2 linked regions of the Macaca fascicularis genome follow. The protein of the gene in region 2 purifies or fractionates together with the protein of the main gene of each other region. This does not show direct contact. Links are inferred from orthologs where the notes say so. Each region holds a gene or a part of one and is shown on either strand. Other genes may lie near its edges.

Evidence for each region. The genes of interacting proteins can lie anywhere in the genome.
Region 1: the proteins of PRKACA (region 2) and AKAP11 purify together in Homo sapiens (affinity purification with mass spectrometry; 5 studies listed by BioGRID and IntAct, with this or other methods). This does not show direct contact. The link is inferred for Macaca fascicularis from reciprocal best matches to the Homo sapiens genes PRKACA and AKAP11.

The regions. Positions count from the first base shown.
Region 1 is NC_088391.1:21,604,732-21,612,550, reverse strand, and holds part of AKAP11 (A-kinase anchor protein 11), read right to left. Parts: intron 7,309-7,819; coding exon 7,262-7,308; intron 3,719-7,261; coding exon 3,558-3,718; intron 2,188-3,557; coding exon 2,047-2,187; 3' UTR 1-2,046. UniProt on the Homo sapiens protein: Binds to type II regulatory subunits of protein kinase A and anchors/targets them.
Region 2 is NC_088393.1:14,512,733-14,520,551, forward strand, and holds part of PRKACA (cAMP-dependent protein kinase catalytic subunit alpha), read right to left. Parts: intron 7,630-7,819; coding exon 7,547-7,629; intron 4,081-7,546; coding exon 3,954-4,080; intron 3,865-3,953; coding exon 3,769-3,864; intron 3,676-3,768; coding exon 3,553-3,675; intron 330-3,552; coding exon 165-329; intron 1-164.

The sequences.
Region 1 (7,819 bases), on a different chromosome or scaffold from region 2:
ACTCAAGTTACTAAACACAATTTGATACATACTTGTAAAAATGCATTCTAAACTTAATAACCAATTAATTCATAATTAACAAGAGCAAACATTCCTAGTCCTAACATTTACAAACCCAGTCCAGTGCAGCCACATCTCAAGTTCTGAAAAGCTAAAGGCAGAAACAATTCTGGTTATACAATTCCTGCATTTCTCCACCTTAAAAAATACTTGAAAAAACTTCAGGAAACTTTATATTAAGGCTTGCTGTATTTCTGTATCTTAAATTGAGAAAAATCAAAACCTACAATGTTACCTCAAGTTATTTAAATAGCTTTTGGCATTTTTCTTAAAAAGCAAATTTGAATCTTTCACTATAAAACATTTCTATACCACAATTACTAATTCACATTAATGTAAGTGCCCTTATTCCCTATTCCTTGGCAGGTGCTATGTCTTCTACATTTTGTGCAGCTTTCAGGTCAGTCAATGCTCAGAAAAAAATGAAAATGTAATGGAGCAAAACCAAAGCCCCCACAAAAAGTGATTTATCCTAGATTACAAAATCCAATAGTGGAAGAACCAACATTTACACACCCAAATACACACACATCCACACATCCACAGGACACAGTGGGAGGTGAGAGAGAGTGGTGGTGGGGAGGTGAGAGAGTAGGGGGAGTGGGGGAGGTGAGAGTTGGGGGAGAGGGCAGAGAGTGGGGGAGAGGGCAGAGAGTGGGGGAGAGGGCAGAGAGTGGGGGAGAGGGCAGAGAGAGGGGGAGAGGGCAGAGAGTGGGGGAGAGGGCAGAGAGAGGGGGAGAAGGCAGAGAGTGGGGGAGAGGGCAGAGAGAGGGGGAGAGGGCAGAGAGAGGGGGAGAGGGCAGAGAGCGGGAGGAGGGGAGAGACAGACAAAAGCAAAACACAACCTTGGTCCTCTATTCATGTCAACTTGCAGTTTCTGGACACAAACTAGTAGGAAATGTAGAGCCCAGAAAGATCATGTCAGAGAACTTGACAAGACGGTGTAGATATGGTGAGGGGGTGGGGGGATCCCAATTTTTCAACCATATTCTTGGTAGAGAGTTTTTTTTTCAAAAATCCAATAAAAACTATTGGCTTCTCTAAATGCATTTCCATATTAATATTAATTTTTAAAATTTCAACATGTTTTATAATTTTTCACTTGTAAGAAGTTGGGAACCCAAAATCGTCAAAAAGAGGAATAAAAATTCTTACTGCACAATCTTTATAGGCGTTTTATTTTAAAGCACCTTTTTAAATCTTAACAGTGGGTTTCTAAAAAGAAAACAGTAAAATAAAAGAGGGAACAAACTGGCAAGGTTAAAGTACTCCTTTACACACACACACACACACACACACAATCACTTTCATGCCAGAATGACTGGCAGCATTGGCAAATAATGTCATCTGATGAAAGGATGGGTCAAACTATCACTTAGTGTTCATAGAAACCTAAAATACTAATGTTTTTGCTAAGAAATTAAATAGTTTGGGGAAATCAAAAAGCTACCAACAGCTGAACTATGAAATATGAAAATGAAACTGATTTTTAAAAACAGGAAAGACCAAAAATCTACTAGAAATTAAAAAAAATCAGCCTCAATTTTATTTTCTGATGTCAGACTAGTTATTAATTAGATGCCATTTGTTTGCAAAGGAGCAAAATGATAACTCTATCACTGGAACCTATCCTCAGCCACTTCAGTGCAGTTTCTAGCAGCACTATTTGGATACAAAAAGAATGTGGTCAGACAATGCCCCTGAAAACCCCATGGTTAGACCTTCCTTCAAATACATGTTCTTAGGGTCTTCACACACTACACACATGTATAGAAGAATAAATGAAGCTAGTATTTTGACAGAGATTACAAAAGTATGAACTATATACACTGAGTGATAACCCAAAGCGCTTAGAAAGCTATATTTACTTGCCTCCCAACTGACTGACAATGTTAATATTCACTATTCAAATTTTATCCTAAACATCTTTATTGGCTTGTTCCCCTCCCCAAACAAATACTAAAATATACTGGTTTGGGGTTTGCTCTATGCATTTTCCAAGAGCCAATCAAACAGCGACTTGCATCTTTCCTCACTGGAAGCTTTTTCCATCACTTCATAGTACTGAAGCACAGCCTGCAGGAGGTCTCCCACTTTCCATCCTTTCTCTTGTAATTGTTTTGAAAGCTAAGAACGAAAGAAAGATGTGTCAAACATTAACCAAAAACAATTTTATAACAAAGCTTTTATTTTTAGCTGAAACTAAGAATCCTGCTGTTTACAATTAAATAGTTTCCTAGTTATAACAAGGTCTTCCCCTCTAAACCGCTACCCCTTTACCCAAATTAAACATTTTCCCTTCTTCCCCTATATAAACACATCTCCTCCGGAGAATGACACTTTGGGATCGCTGGAGACAAAGCTCCACAAACCTCACCAAGCAAATAGTCTGTGTGGGAGTGCAGAGACTGAGTTTCTACAGGAAATTCTTCACCTAACTAAATACAACTGCCACACCCTCAATTAGAACATAAAATAATAAAGACAACGTCAAGCTCAATAAACGGATGTGGATTTTCCTTCCACAACATATAGTATGTTATTTTTCTGGAATACACACTCTAGCCTCAATGATGACATGGCTTTCTAAGTTAAAAAATGTTAATGTTTCAACATACATACATACATACATAAATACAGGTTTAAATAAATCCTGTTGTCCCACTCATGACATGCCTTCGTTCACTTCTTTTTCTACTAAGTTCTGTAAAAGCTCTTAAGTTTTGAAAGATCTGTAAGTTAAAGTCTGAAAAACTAATTTGTGTTAACATATATATGCTTAACCTTTTTAAAAACAGCTTTATTGAGATAAAACTCACATAACATACAATTCACCCAAAGTGTCTTAGTCAATGGTTTTTAGTATGTTCTCCAAGTTGAATGCAACCATCACCACAATTAGAATATTTCTACCACACCAAAAGGAAACTTCCAATAAAGAAAATTATGCAACAAAAACCTTAAGACTGTAAACTGAAAATCTTGACTAATAAGGTATTTCGCACATAGTAAGCATCTTGTTTAAACTTTTATCGACTTTTAATTATGACAGCTTCTCATATGAATGAAACTGGATTATCAGAGAAAGATATATTAGGTACAATTATGAATCAATTAAATACAGAGAATAATTCAACTTTTTCATAGGAACACACACAATGCTTATTAATAGCATCTACCTTTGAGAGCTTAGTGTTATGCCAGGCATTAGACTAAGCATTTTTTTAACATTATATTTAATCCTCATAAACCCCTGTAAGGTTGATTCTATATTCATTTGCATAGCGCAGTTAGGGGCAATGAGACAGACTGGTGAACCTGCCTCTGGTTACCCTGCTAGAAAGAGGCAGAGCTGATGTCTGAACCCAACTGTTGGATACTACAGCCTAAGCATTTAACCACTCTGCCATCACCAGGCATCTTGTTAGACCAACCACATGACAAGAACATCATCTACTGTTAAATGTATACTAACCCTCTATAAGGTAGGTACTTACTAGCATAAACTCCTTATTTGCAGAGTCATGAAAATAAAGTTCTGTAACTTCAGCCTCAGAGGCAATGAGCCATTGAAGAATAATCCTTAGCTGGGGGTCTACCGTGCATGGCTCCATGTCAATATTCGTAATTAGCAGTGTCTTTCCATCTTGCCCCAAACCTAATATTTAAATGTAAACAATGTAAAGTAAAACTCATCAATTTAACTCTCAATACTCTGGTTGTCAAGTAGATACAAATATTTTCCCTTCCTTAGGATTCTAATAAATGGTGAAAAAACATCCATCTTTTTCTAACCACACCATAACCTCAACTAAAACTTTTAAAGGGCAAAATAATGTAAAACAAAGGAACAACTTTGATCATTTATTGATTGCAAAAATGTAAAACACCATTTTAACGTAATGAATTCAAGTTCTATAAATACCATAATTTGATATAAATTATGACCAATGGGTTACAGAGAAAATAGAACTATAAAGCTATCATCACAATAAAAATTAAAATGAGGCTGGGCATGGTGGCTCAGGCCTATAATCCCAGCACTCTGGGAGGCCGAGGTGGGCAGATCACTTGAGGCCAAGAGTTCAAGACCAGCCTGCCCAACATGGTGAAACCCCATCACTACTAAATATACAAAATCCAGCCAGGTATGGTGGCACATGCCTGTAGTCCCAGGTACTCAGGAGGCTGTGGCACAAGAATCACTGGAACCCAGGAGACAGGGGTTGCAGTGATCCGAAATTGTACCACTGCACTCCAGCCTGGGCAACGGAGCAAGACTGTCTCAAAAAACAAAAATCTCAAATAAAGAAGAGCAGCAACATTTGTGCAGCACATATTCCATCCTAAGTATTGTTCTAAGCTCTTTATATGTACAAACTCCTTTAATCCTCACAACCACTCTATGACGTAGAAACTATTATCGTATCCATCCTACAGGTGAGAGATCTGAGGCAATGAGAGCCGCAGAGTCCTCCAGTGGGGAAGTGGCTGAGCCAGGACATTTACACAGGCAGTCTAGCTCCATGCTCTTAATCACTCATTCAGACAAAACTGGGAGGAAATGCCATATGCAACCACTTAACCCAAAGCCAGATCAGGGAATTTTCTGGTATACTCCAAGTATCAAGATTATCTCTAATTTATTTTCTTTTTTTATGGTACTTTTGTTTTCATCACAAAGAGAGATCCATCTCTGTTGATGGAAATAATGACTTGTGGGCCAGTATCATGCATTTAACATTCCTGCTGCTTAATGACACCTGAGCAATACGGAGTGCTGAGACCAGGACCCCTCCACCCCTTAACACACACCACAAGAGGTGAGCACCAGGGCATGCTGGCAGACATCATGCCAATATGTACCAGTAATGGAAAGACTGCTGACAGATGTCTGATTCTCTGCTACAGTTTGCAGGCCATTCTAGACCACTATTAATTATTTTCAGGATTTGTGTTGGTCCCTAATTTTTAATTTAAAAGATTTGGTCCACATTACTCTCTAAAAATAAATGTATTGTCTTTTCCCTCCCCTCTCTCAAACACTCTCAATCAAAAATAGGTTTGGTACACCACGGTACAAGGCATGGTCTCTGGGCCTTTTTGCAATCCTGCGGAGTTCAGGGGGCTGGAAGCTAAGTCACCCCACTGCTTCTCTGCACTGCTGGTGTTTTCTCAGTTCAGGACTCCTGGTTGCCTGGCCTACAAGAACCTTCAAACAGCTCTCTCTTTAGAGAAGCCACTAACAATTAATGAAAAGGGGAGGGACTGACATCCTGCAACTACAAATTTTTTTTTTAAAAGAAGTTTGTTGCCTTAGGATTTCCATAATTTTGAGTCTTTCTATAAATCCAGACCAATATATCTCCTAATTTACCAATCTCTAACAAATTTAAAGTTGGCTGTAACTTTCTATATAATGAGAAATACCTATAATCTCAAAAGCTCAGTAATGACATATCAACATATAATTAATCTCCTGTTTCTACCTACTCACAAAAGAAATCCTTAACAGCCTGGTTAGTGCCAAAAGTAATCTTTTTCAAAATAAATTTCATATTTATATTAACTTGTATCTTTTTTCTTAATCATTCCTCAGTAAAGCTAGTTAAGCAATTGCTAGTTCATTAGAGAATACTTACCACATGCATTTGTAGCCTTTAGAATAACTGTTCACAGGTGTTACTTGAGAAAAGGTCTAGAACTTTTATAAACAAAGTCAACACTTTTTTATTGAACAAGAATGAAACAAATATTGCAGTAGGGAATATCAATATCAAATATCAATAACACTAAAAATATTGCCCCATCTCGACTTTGTATCTGATGAGAAAAACTGACTTCTAGAAGCCCTATATAAAGAATGTCGACTTACAGAGACATTAAAACTAAAAAAATAATAATCTTAAGTCTGAAGATTGCAGCTTAAAAATTGGGATGTGACTTCCCTAAACAAGGTGTTAAACTTATTGAAAATTCAGGTGTCATAAAGTAAATTTCGAGAAATTCTTTTTAGCTATTTTCTGTTTGCCTGCTTCTAGAGAAGCAATTTTTAAAACATCACTAGTTCAAAAACAAGTATCTCAAAGAGTACAAATACTTTTATAAGTGCCACTTTATAGAAGACATTATTGGTATTTTCAAAATTAAGAAAAAATTAGACTTTTAGAAAAAAATTCAACAACCATCTGAATATAATGAAAACTCAGCTTCAAAGTAAAGTTTCTAAATTCACTCAGATGAATAAACTCAGATATTTTAACATATGAATTAAGGATTACAAACCATGATCCAAAACTGTGGCCAATGATATCCAGTACTGACATACTTGGAACTATGTTCATTAAGGAAGGATCTGAATATTTTCTTTAAATATGTATATGTGTGAGTGAAGCACTGGAACTGGGGGAGGGAAGAAGAATTAACTTAGAAATATCTTTTAAACAAGATAAGTAAAAATATTACTGACTCACCTAAGTTTGACATGAAACCCTAGTTCTACAAGTTACCAGTTTGGAAGGAAAATAATATGCCATAGTTAAAATAAATTATCTTATGAGTAAGAATTTTAGCTTTTATATTTTGAAAATAATTATGTGGAGAGATTATAATTAATTTATCTCAAATAATCAAATAATTCTCATGAAGTATTCCTTTCTTTTTTCTTTTCTTTTCTTTTTTTTTTTTTTTTTTTTGAGTCAGAGTCTCTGGCTCTGTCACCCAGGCTGGAGTGCAGTGGCATGATCTCAGTTCACTGGAACCTCTGCCTCCCAGGTTCAAGCGAATCCTGTGCCTCAGCCTCTTGAATAGCTGGGATGACAGGCACCCACCACCATGCCCAGCTAATTTTTGTATTTTCAGTAGAGATGGGGTTTCACCATGTTGGCCAAGCCGGTCTTGAACTCCTGGCCTCAAACAATCCACCCACCTCAGCCATCCAAAATGCTGGGAATATAGGCGTGAGCCACCGTGCCTGCCCAGTATTTCTTTACACCAATGACAATTTCATTAGTGTAGCAATCAAATAAAACTACTCAGCGAAGGATCTAGAAGTGGACAAACAAAATTATTTCAAAAATACCCTGATTTATAATGTTTTACACAAATAACCTAGAGCCTATCTGACAAAAATGCATAAAGACTCTTCTAGGAAACCTTACACAAAAGACATGCCAACACTTTGAAAAACAAATCAAATTACCTTCTACTTCATCCTCATGCTCTTCATCTTTATCATCTGGTCCATCACTTATGAATAAAATAGCAGAAGTAGTTACAAAAAAAACTTTAATTAATAATGGTATCAAAACAAATTCTTAAAAATGTGGTAATGAATGTTACAATATGACATGTGACATTTAGAAAGGGGAGAAATGACAATTAAAAAAGGAAGCTTTGCTTCTCACATCATTTCATGTTAAAATCTGAGTTGCAAATGATCCCTAAAGTTATTAAAACCAAGAAATCCTACCTTACCATGATATATATAAGTGCCATGTAATTTCATATTATTCAATTTAAAATCATTTAAAGTTGAAATAGTCTACGAAATTTAATGTAGCATTTGAATCTCACAAAATGCCAGGAATAATTTGTTAATGGTTTAGCTGATGCAATTTATATATTTTTTAATACAGTAAAAACACTTTTTACTTATACTTTTCTTATACATAAAATAAAATCACATACAAAAAAAACATAACAAAAAAACCCAACAGAAATCCTGTAGGAAGCAAGCTCTTTTGAATGAAATAATTGG
Region 2 (7,819 bases):
TGGCCAAATGACCCCAGAATCCCATTTCTAGACCCCACTGCTCTAAGCTCTCTACTCTAGGTTGCTCCTGAACCTGTGTTCTCTTCTCTTTCTCTCTATTGGCTGTCCTCCCTGACTCGCGGCTTGCTCCCAAACCCTCAGCAGCTTAAGGAGGGGAGACCCACCTTCCTCTGGTAGATGGCGATCCAGTCAGTCGTGGCAAACCACTTGTGGTTCTTGATATCATTGACCCCATTCTTGAGGTTCCCAAAGCGCTTGGTAAGATCTACCTGCAGGAGGTTCCGCAGCAGGTCCTTCAAGTCAGAGCTGAAGTGGGAAGGGAACCGCACCTGGAGGAAGGGGTACAAGGACAGGGTGGGAAGCTGGTCTGGAACTTGGGGAGCCCATGAGGCTTCTTTCTCCATCCAACAGTCCTACTGGGTGGGGGCCTCCAAAGCTGAGTGCCTGCTGGCATCCTGTAAAACAGCTCCTTGAGCCTACACTACAGTTTCCAATTTAGGAAGTGATACTGTGGCCTGAGAATCTGCATTTCTTTAAAAACTTTAAAAATTCAAGAGCTAGTTATTTTAAGTTTTTGTAGAGACAGGGTCTCACTATATTGCCCAGGCTGGTCTAGAACTCTTAGGCTCAACCGATCCTCCTGCTTTGGCCTCCCAAAGTACTGGGATTATAGGCGTGAGCCACCGCACCCAGCAAGAATCTGCATTAAAAAAAAAAAAAAAAAGTCTCATTCTGTAGCCCAGGCTGGAGTGCAGTGGTGCGATCTGGACTCACTGCAATCTCCGCCTCCTGGGTTCAAGGAATTCTCCTGTCTCAGCCTCCTAAGTAGCTGGGATCACAGGCTCACGCCACGACACCTGGCTAATTTTTGTATTTTTAGTAGAGACAGGGTTTCACCATATTGGTCAGGCTGGTCTTGAACTCCTGACCTCAGGTGATCCACCTGCGTCGGCCTCCCAAGGTGTTGGGATTACAGCTGTGAGCTACCGTGCCTGGCCCAATAATCTGCATTTCTAACAAATTCCCCAGCAACGGTGATGCTGGAAAGGGGTCCCCTTTAAGAACCATTGCTCTTAAGGCAAGTGCTATGATGATTTCCATTTCAGAGAAGGGGAAACTGAGGCTTGGAAGGGTTAAACAGCTCTTCCAAGGTCACATTGAGGCATGGGATGGGGCAATTCCATCTCAGGTCTACTGGACTCTAGAACTTGTATTCTCAGCTGCTGCTGCTGCCGCTGCTGCTGAAGGCATCTCTGCTGGGGTTCAGAGACTTCTGAAATATTCATGCTTATGACAAACTTTTTCTCTCCTCTCTTTCTGCATAGCTAAGGCTCTTCCATTCTTTAAAGTGCAGCTCGACTCTTCTTGAAAGTTTTCCCCATACGCTCTGAGCCCATAGCCTTGTATGCAAGTCATCACTGGAGTTATAGTTGCAAGAAACGACTTCTTGTTCCTGCTGTGCCTCTTACACGCTTTGTGACCTTGGCCATGGCCCTTAACCTCTCTGGGCCTGTGCATGCCTCTCAGATGTGGGGCAGATATCCCAGGGCTGCACGAGGGAGATAACACCACTGAGGGTGTGGGGGAACTAGAAAATGCTACAAAGAAGGGAGTCATGTGCATCTTCTCCTATGGGATCTTCTGTGATTTTTTTCTTTCTTTTTTTTTTTTCCACTCTGGACCATTTTCTTTTTTTTCTTTCTTTTTTTTTTTTTTCTGAGATGGAGTCTTGCTCTGTTGCCCAGGCTAGAGTGCAGTGGCGCAATCTCAGCTCACTGCAACCTCTGCCTCCTGAGTAGCTGGGATTTACAGGCATACGCCACCACACCCGGCTAATTTTTGTATTTTTAGTAGAGACAGGGTTTCAGCATGTTGGTCAGGCTGGTCTTAAACTCCTGACCTTGTGATCCGCCCGCCTCGGCCTCCCAAAGTGCTGGGATTACAGGCGTGAGCCACCGTGCCCGGCCTACTCTGGGCCATTTTATTGGCAGTTTCTATTCCACCCATGGCAGATGCCTCATCTTTCCTTTTTTTTGAGACGGAGTCTTGTTCTGTCGCCCAGGCTGGAGTGCAATGGTGTGATCTTGGCTCACTGCAACCTCCGTCTCCTGGGTTGAAGCAATTCTTTGGCCTCAGCCTCCCAAGTAGCTGGGATTACAGGTGCCTGCTACCATGCCCAGCTAATTTTTGTATTTTTAGTAGAGATGGGGTTTCACTATGTTGGCCAGGCTGGTCTTGAACTCCGGACCTCGTGATCCACCTGCCTCAGCCTCCCGAAGTGCTGGGATTACAGGCATGAGCCATCGTGCCAGGCCTTCATCTTTCCCTTTTAGTGATGCTATGTGTCCAGCCGGGTACCCCACTTGCCTGAATTTTTTTTAAAAGACTGTGTCTGGCTCTGTGACCCAGGCTAGTTTGCAGTGGCACAGTCACAGCTCACTGCAGCCTTGAACTTCTGGGCTCAAGTGATCCTCCTGCCTCAGCTTCCTGATGAGCTGGGAATACAGGGGTGCACCATCACGCCCAGCTAATTTTTAGCTTTTTTTTTTTTTTTTTTTTAAGAGATGGGGTCTGGCTATGTTACCCAGGCTGGTCTGGAACTGCTGGCCTCAAGCCTCCACTTCCCAAGGTGCTGGGATTACAGGCGTGAGCCATTGCACCCAAATGCAAAGTTTCAAAGCCAATCAGTGGCAGAGCTGGGACTGGGGTCCGGACTGGGGCCCAGGCTGAGCCTGAGGATGCTGCCACCACAGTGTCGTGACTCTGGGCCAACCAAAAGCTCCTGTGTAGGAGATGCTGGACCAAGTCGGGGGATGGTCGGGTCTTCCCAGCAAGGTGGTTGAGCTGAGGGCACAGGTGGGGTCCCCAACCTCTCTCCTGCTCTTAGTGCCTACGATGATTACCTACTCACCAAAGTGTGATCTTGGCCAAGACACATCCCTTTTCCCAGCCTGTTTCCTCACCTCTCCTGCAGAGGGTGCCACCATCTCAGGGTGTGACTGATGGGGGGATTCTAGGGCCTGGTGGATGGCAGGCACTTTGCGCCTGTCACAGATGTGAGCTGAGGTGGTTTCAGCACCCCTCATCCGAACCCTCAGAGTTAGGCAAGTCTGGGTTTGGGAGAGGAAGCATGGGCTGTAAACGCTAAGTGAGAGCACTCCTTGGTGAGGCTGCGGACAGCACCTGGGAACAGGAACCAAATACACTGGTTTTTCTGCCTTGGAATTTGCGAAAACTCACACTAACTGGGACAAGGAGTGACGAAGAGGGTTGCCTGGCAGGGCGGTTTGTGTTCTGCGGCCAAGAAGTTTCTGTGAGGCTTGGGGTTTTGGAAGCTCTTGGGATTCTGGAACCGCGGGGTTGGGGCTGGACAGTGAGGGGGCCTCAAGGTGTTGGCCTCAGTGTGGCCGGTGCGTCCAGCTTCACCACCTGGCCTGACTTAAGGAACTTCTAGATTATTCTGACAACAAGCAGGGCTCCCCAGGGAGTAGGATGAGTGAGCAGGGGAGGGTCTGTTTCTTCCAGGGCTGTGTCCCCGCAGCCGGACCTCACCTTCCCAGAGACGATCTTCTCATAGATCTGGATGGGCTGGTCTGCGAAGAAGGGCGGGTAGCCAGCAGCCATTTCATAGATAAGAACCCCCAGGGCCCACCAGTCCACAGCCTTGTTGTAGCCCTGGAGCAAGATGGGGGGGCACAGGGTGAGGAGGGGGCGAGCAGGAGAGCAGAGCCGGCCTCAGGGGAAGGGGAGGGCTGGGGAGGCGCCTACTTTGCTCAGGATAATCTCAGGGGCCAGATACTCAGGGGTGCCGCACAAGGTCCAAGTGCGGCCCTTCACGCGCTTGGCGAAACCGAAGTCTGTCACCTGTGGGCACAAGAACAGGCAGTTGGCAGGAAGGGAGGGTCCAGGCCACGGCTTCCCCAGGGCTGCCCCTCGCCCGGCCTGGTGGGCACCTGAATGTATCCCTGCTGGTCAATGAGCAGATTCTCCGGCTTCAGGTCCCTGTAGATGAGATCCAGCGAGTGCAGATACTCGAAGGTCAGGACGATCTGGGCCGCGTAGAAACGGGCATGGGGCTCGCTGATGGGGACAGATGGAGAGGTGAATGTCAGTGGCCATGCCCCAAAATGGTCCAGCAGGTGGCCCTGCAGAGCCTTCCCCAGAGGAAGACAACTCCAGTCCGGCTGTCAGAAATGCGAGGCACCTGATTCTTAGATAGCCCGACATGGGAAATAGCCTGTAGGTCCACCCACAGGAGAATGGAATCACAGACTGAGCTATAGTCATATAATGGAATTCCACTCACCACCACCACTGCCAACAGGACAGCCCATGCATCCACTCAACAACGTGGCTGCATTTCAAACTGATTATGTTAAAGCAAAAGAAGACACAAAAGAACATGAATGATTCCATTTATATCATGTCCACGCCCAGACAAAACAAAGGCACGGTGTTTGAAGTCAGAAAGGACAACTGCCTTTGGCGGGGAGGTGACGTGTCAAGAAAGGGATTTGGCCCGGCGCGGTGTCTCATCCCTGTAATCCCAGCATTTTGGAGGGTCGAGGTGGGAGGATCACTTGAGCCCAGGAGTTCGAGACCAGCCTGGGTAACATAGGCAAGATCTCACCTCTGTGTGTATGCAGAGATGTGTGTGTGTGTGTGTATATATATATATTTTTTTTTTCAGTATTTTTTTTGAGATGGAGTCTTGCTCTGTTGCCCAGGCTGGAGTGCAGTAGCATAATCTTGGCTCACTGCAACCTTCGCCTCCTGGAAACAAGTGATTCTCTTGCCTCAGCCTCCTGAGTAGCTGGGATTACAGGCATGCACCACCACACCTGGCTAATTTTTATATTTTTAGTAGAGACAGGGTTTCACCATGTTGGTCAGGCTGGTCTCGAACTGCTGACCTTGTGATCCGCCCGCCTTGGCCTCCCAAAGTGCTGGGATTACAGGCGTGAGCCACTGCACCCGGCCTCCACCTCTGTATATTATTGAAAAAAAAAAAAAAAAAAAAGAAGAAGAAAGGGATTCAAGGGAATTTTCTGGGGTGATAGAAAAGTTCCATATACTGTTTTAGGTGGAGGTTAGGTAACTGTATACAACTGTCAAAATTTGTGGCATGGAGCATTGAAGAACTGTGCATTTTATTGTATGTAAAGTGAATCTATAGTTTTCTATCTAAAATACAACTACAAGGCCAGCATGGTGGCTCATGCCTGTAATCCCAGCACTTTAGAGGCCGAGGGGGACAGATCACCCAAGGTCAGAAGATTGAGACCAGCCTGGCCAACATGGTGAAACCCCATCTCTACTAAAAATACAAAAATTAGCCAGGCAAGGGGGCGTGCGCCTGTAATCCCAGCTACTTGGGAGGCTGAGACAGAAGAATCACTTGAATCCAGGAGGTGAAGGTTGCACGGAGCCGAGATCACGCCACTGCACTCCAGTCTGGGTGACAAGACTGAAACTCCGTCTCAAAAAATAAAATAAAAGTACATATGTAAACTTATAAGTTAATAAGACAAATTTTTAAGCTAAAAATTTTTTTTTGTTTGAACAGGGTCTCTGTTACCCATTCTGAAGTGCAGCAGCGTGATCATGGCTCATGCAGACTTTTTTTTTTTTCCTTTTTATTTTTTTGAGATGGAGTCTTGCTCTGTCATCCAGGCTGGAGTGCACTGGCACGATCTTGGCTCACTGCAACCTCTTCCTCCCAGGTTCACTCCATTCTCCTGCCTCAGCCTCCCGAGTAGCTGGGAATACAGGTGCCCACCACCACGCCCTGCTAATTATTTTTTTTTGTATTTTTAGTAGAGATGGGGTTTCACCGTCTTAGCCAGGATGGTCTGGATCTCCTGACCTCGTGATCCGCCTGCCTCAGCCTTCCAAAGTGCTGGGATTACAGGTGTGAGCCACCGCGCCTGGCCGGCTCATGCAGTCTTGACCTCCCAGGCTCAGGTGATCTTCCCACCTCAGCCTCCCCAGTAGCTGGGACTACAGGCATGTGCCACCACACCTAATTTTTTTTTTTTTTTTTGAGATGGAGTTTCGTTCTTGTTGCCAAGGCTGGAGTGCAATGGTGCCATCTGGGCTCACTGCAACCTCTACCTCCTGGGTTCAAGCGATTCTCCTGCCTCAGCCTCCTGAGTAGCTGGGATTACAGGCGCCCACCACCACGTCCAGGTAATTTTTGTATTTTTAATAAAGACGGGGTTTCACCATGTTGGTCAGTCTGGTCTCGAACTCTTGACCTCAGGTGATCCACCCGCCTCGGCCTCCCAAAGTGCTGGGATTACAGGCATGAGCCACTGCGCCCAACCTATTTTTTTTTTTTTACTTTTTGTAGAGATGGGTCTTGCTATGTTAGGCTGGTCTCAAATTCCTGGGCTCTAGCAATCTGCCCACCTTGGCCTCCCAAAGTGGGATTATAGGCATGAGCCACAGTACCCAGCCTGTATCTTAAACTTACAAATTTATGTAGTTTTATTTTATGTATAAAAATATATATTAAAATCTACACATATAAAACTATTGACCTATATAAAATGAAATAATAGTATAATTTTTATTTTATTTTTTGAGATGGAGTCTCGCTCTGTCGCCCAGGCTGGAGTGCAGTGGCGCGATCACTGCAAGCTCCACCTCCCGGGTTCACACCATTCTCCTGCCTCAGCCTCCCAAGGAGCTGGGACTAGAGGCGCCTGCAACCACACCCGGCTAATTTTTTTGTATTTTTTAAGTAGAGACAGGGTTTCACCATGTTAGCCAGGATGGTCTCGATATCCTGACCTCCTGATCCACCGGCCTCAGCCTCCCAAAGTGCTGGGATTACAGGTGTGAGCCACCACGCCCGGCCAATTTTTTTTTTTTTTAAGAGACAAAACCTCACTATGTAGCCTAGGCTGGTCTCAAATTCTTGAGCTCAAATGATCTTTTCGCTTCAGCCTCAGGAGTAGTGGGATTACAGATGCATGCCACCTTTTGGGGCTCAAAAAATGCACAAAATCAACAACTTCAATTTTTTTTTTTTTTTTTTTTGAGACGGCGTGTCACTGTCTCACCCAGGCTGGAGTGCAGTGGTGTGATCTTAGCTCACTGCAATGTCTGTCTCCTGGGTTCAAGTGATTCTCCTGCCTCAGCTTCCCGAGTAGCTGGGATTACAGGTGCCCGCCACCACGCCCAGCTAAGTTTTGTATTTTTAGTGGAGACGGGATTTTGCCATGTTGGCCAGGCCGGTCTCGAACTCCTGATCTCAGGTGATCTGCCCACCTCGGCCTCCCAAAGTGCCAGTGAGAACCACCGCGCCTGGGACCAACTAAAGTTTGGACACCTAACTTGCCATGTTTGCTCTGTTTTGTTTTGTGGTGGTTGAAACATCACACATTCCTCAGCATAGGGGAAACACAAACCCATAGGATCCTGGGAGACCACCTGCATGTTCAAGCATGCTGGACTCCTCTGCATTCCCCGGGGGGCTTGGTTGTGCACTGCCACCTGTGGACACCCGACAGCCTGATGTGATGGGGGGTGGCCTGCTTACCTGAACCTTCCAATCCGCCGTAGGTGTGAGAACATCTCCCCACCGGGCACGTATTCCATGACCATGTATAAGTTTGAGTTGTCCTGTGGGAAGCAGTGGCTGGTCAAGGGCCCACTCCCTGAGACTTGGACCCTATCTGAAGGCCTTGGGGGCCTCCTGGCTGGTGTTCCAACATTAAATGACAACAGCGATCCTGGCTCTCCGTAGGAATCATGTTCTAGGGACCAGAGGCTTTGCTGGCTGAACCCACATGTTGCATTTCATTCTGCCCAG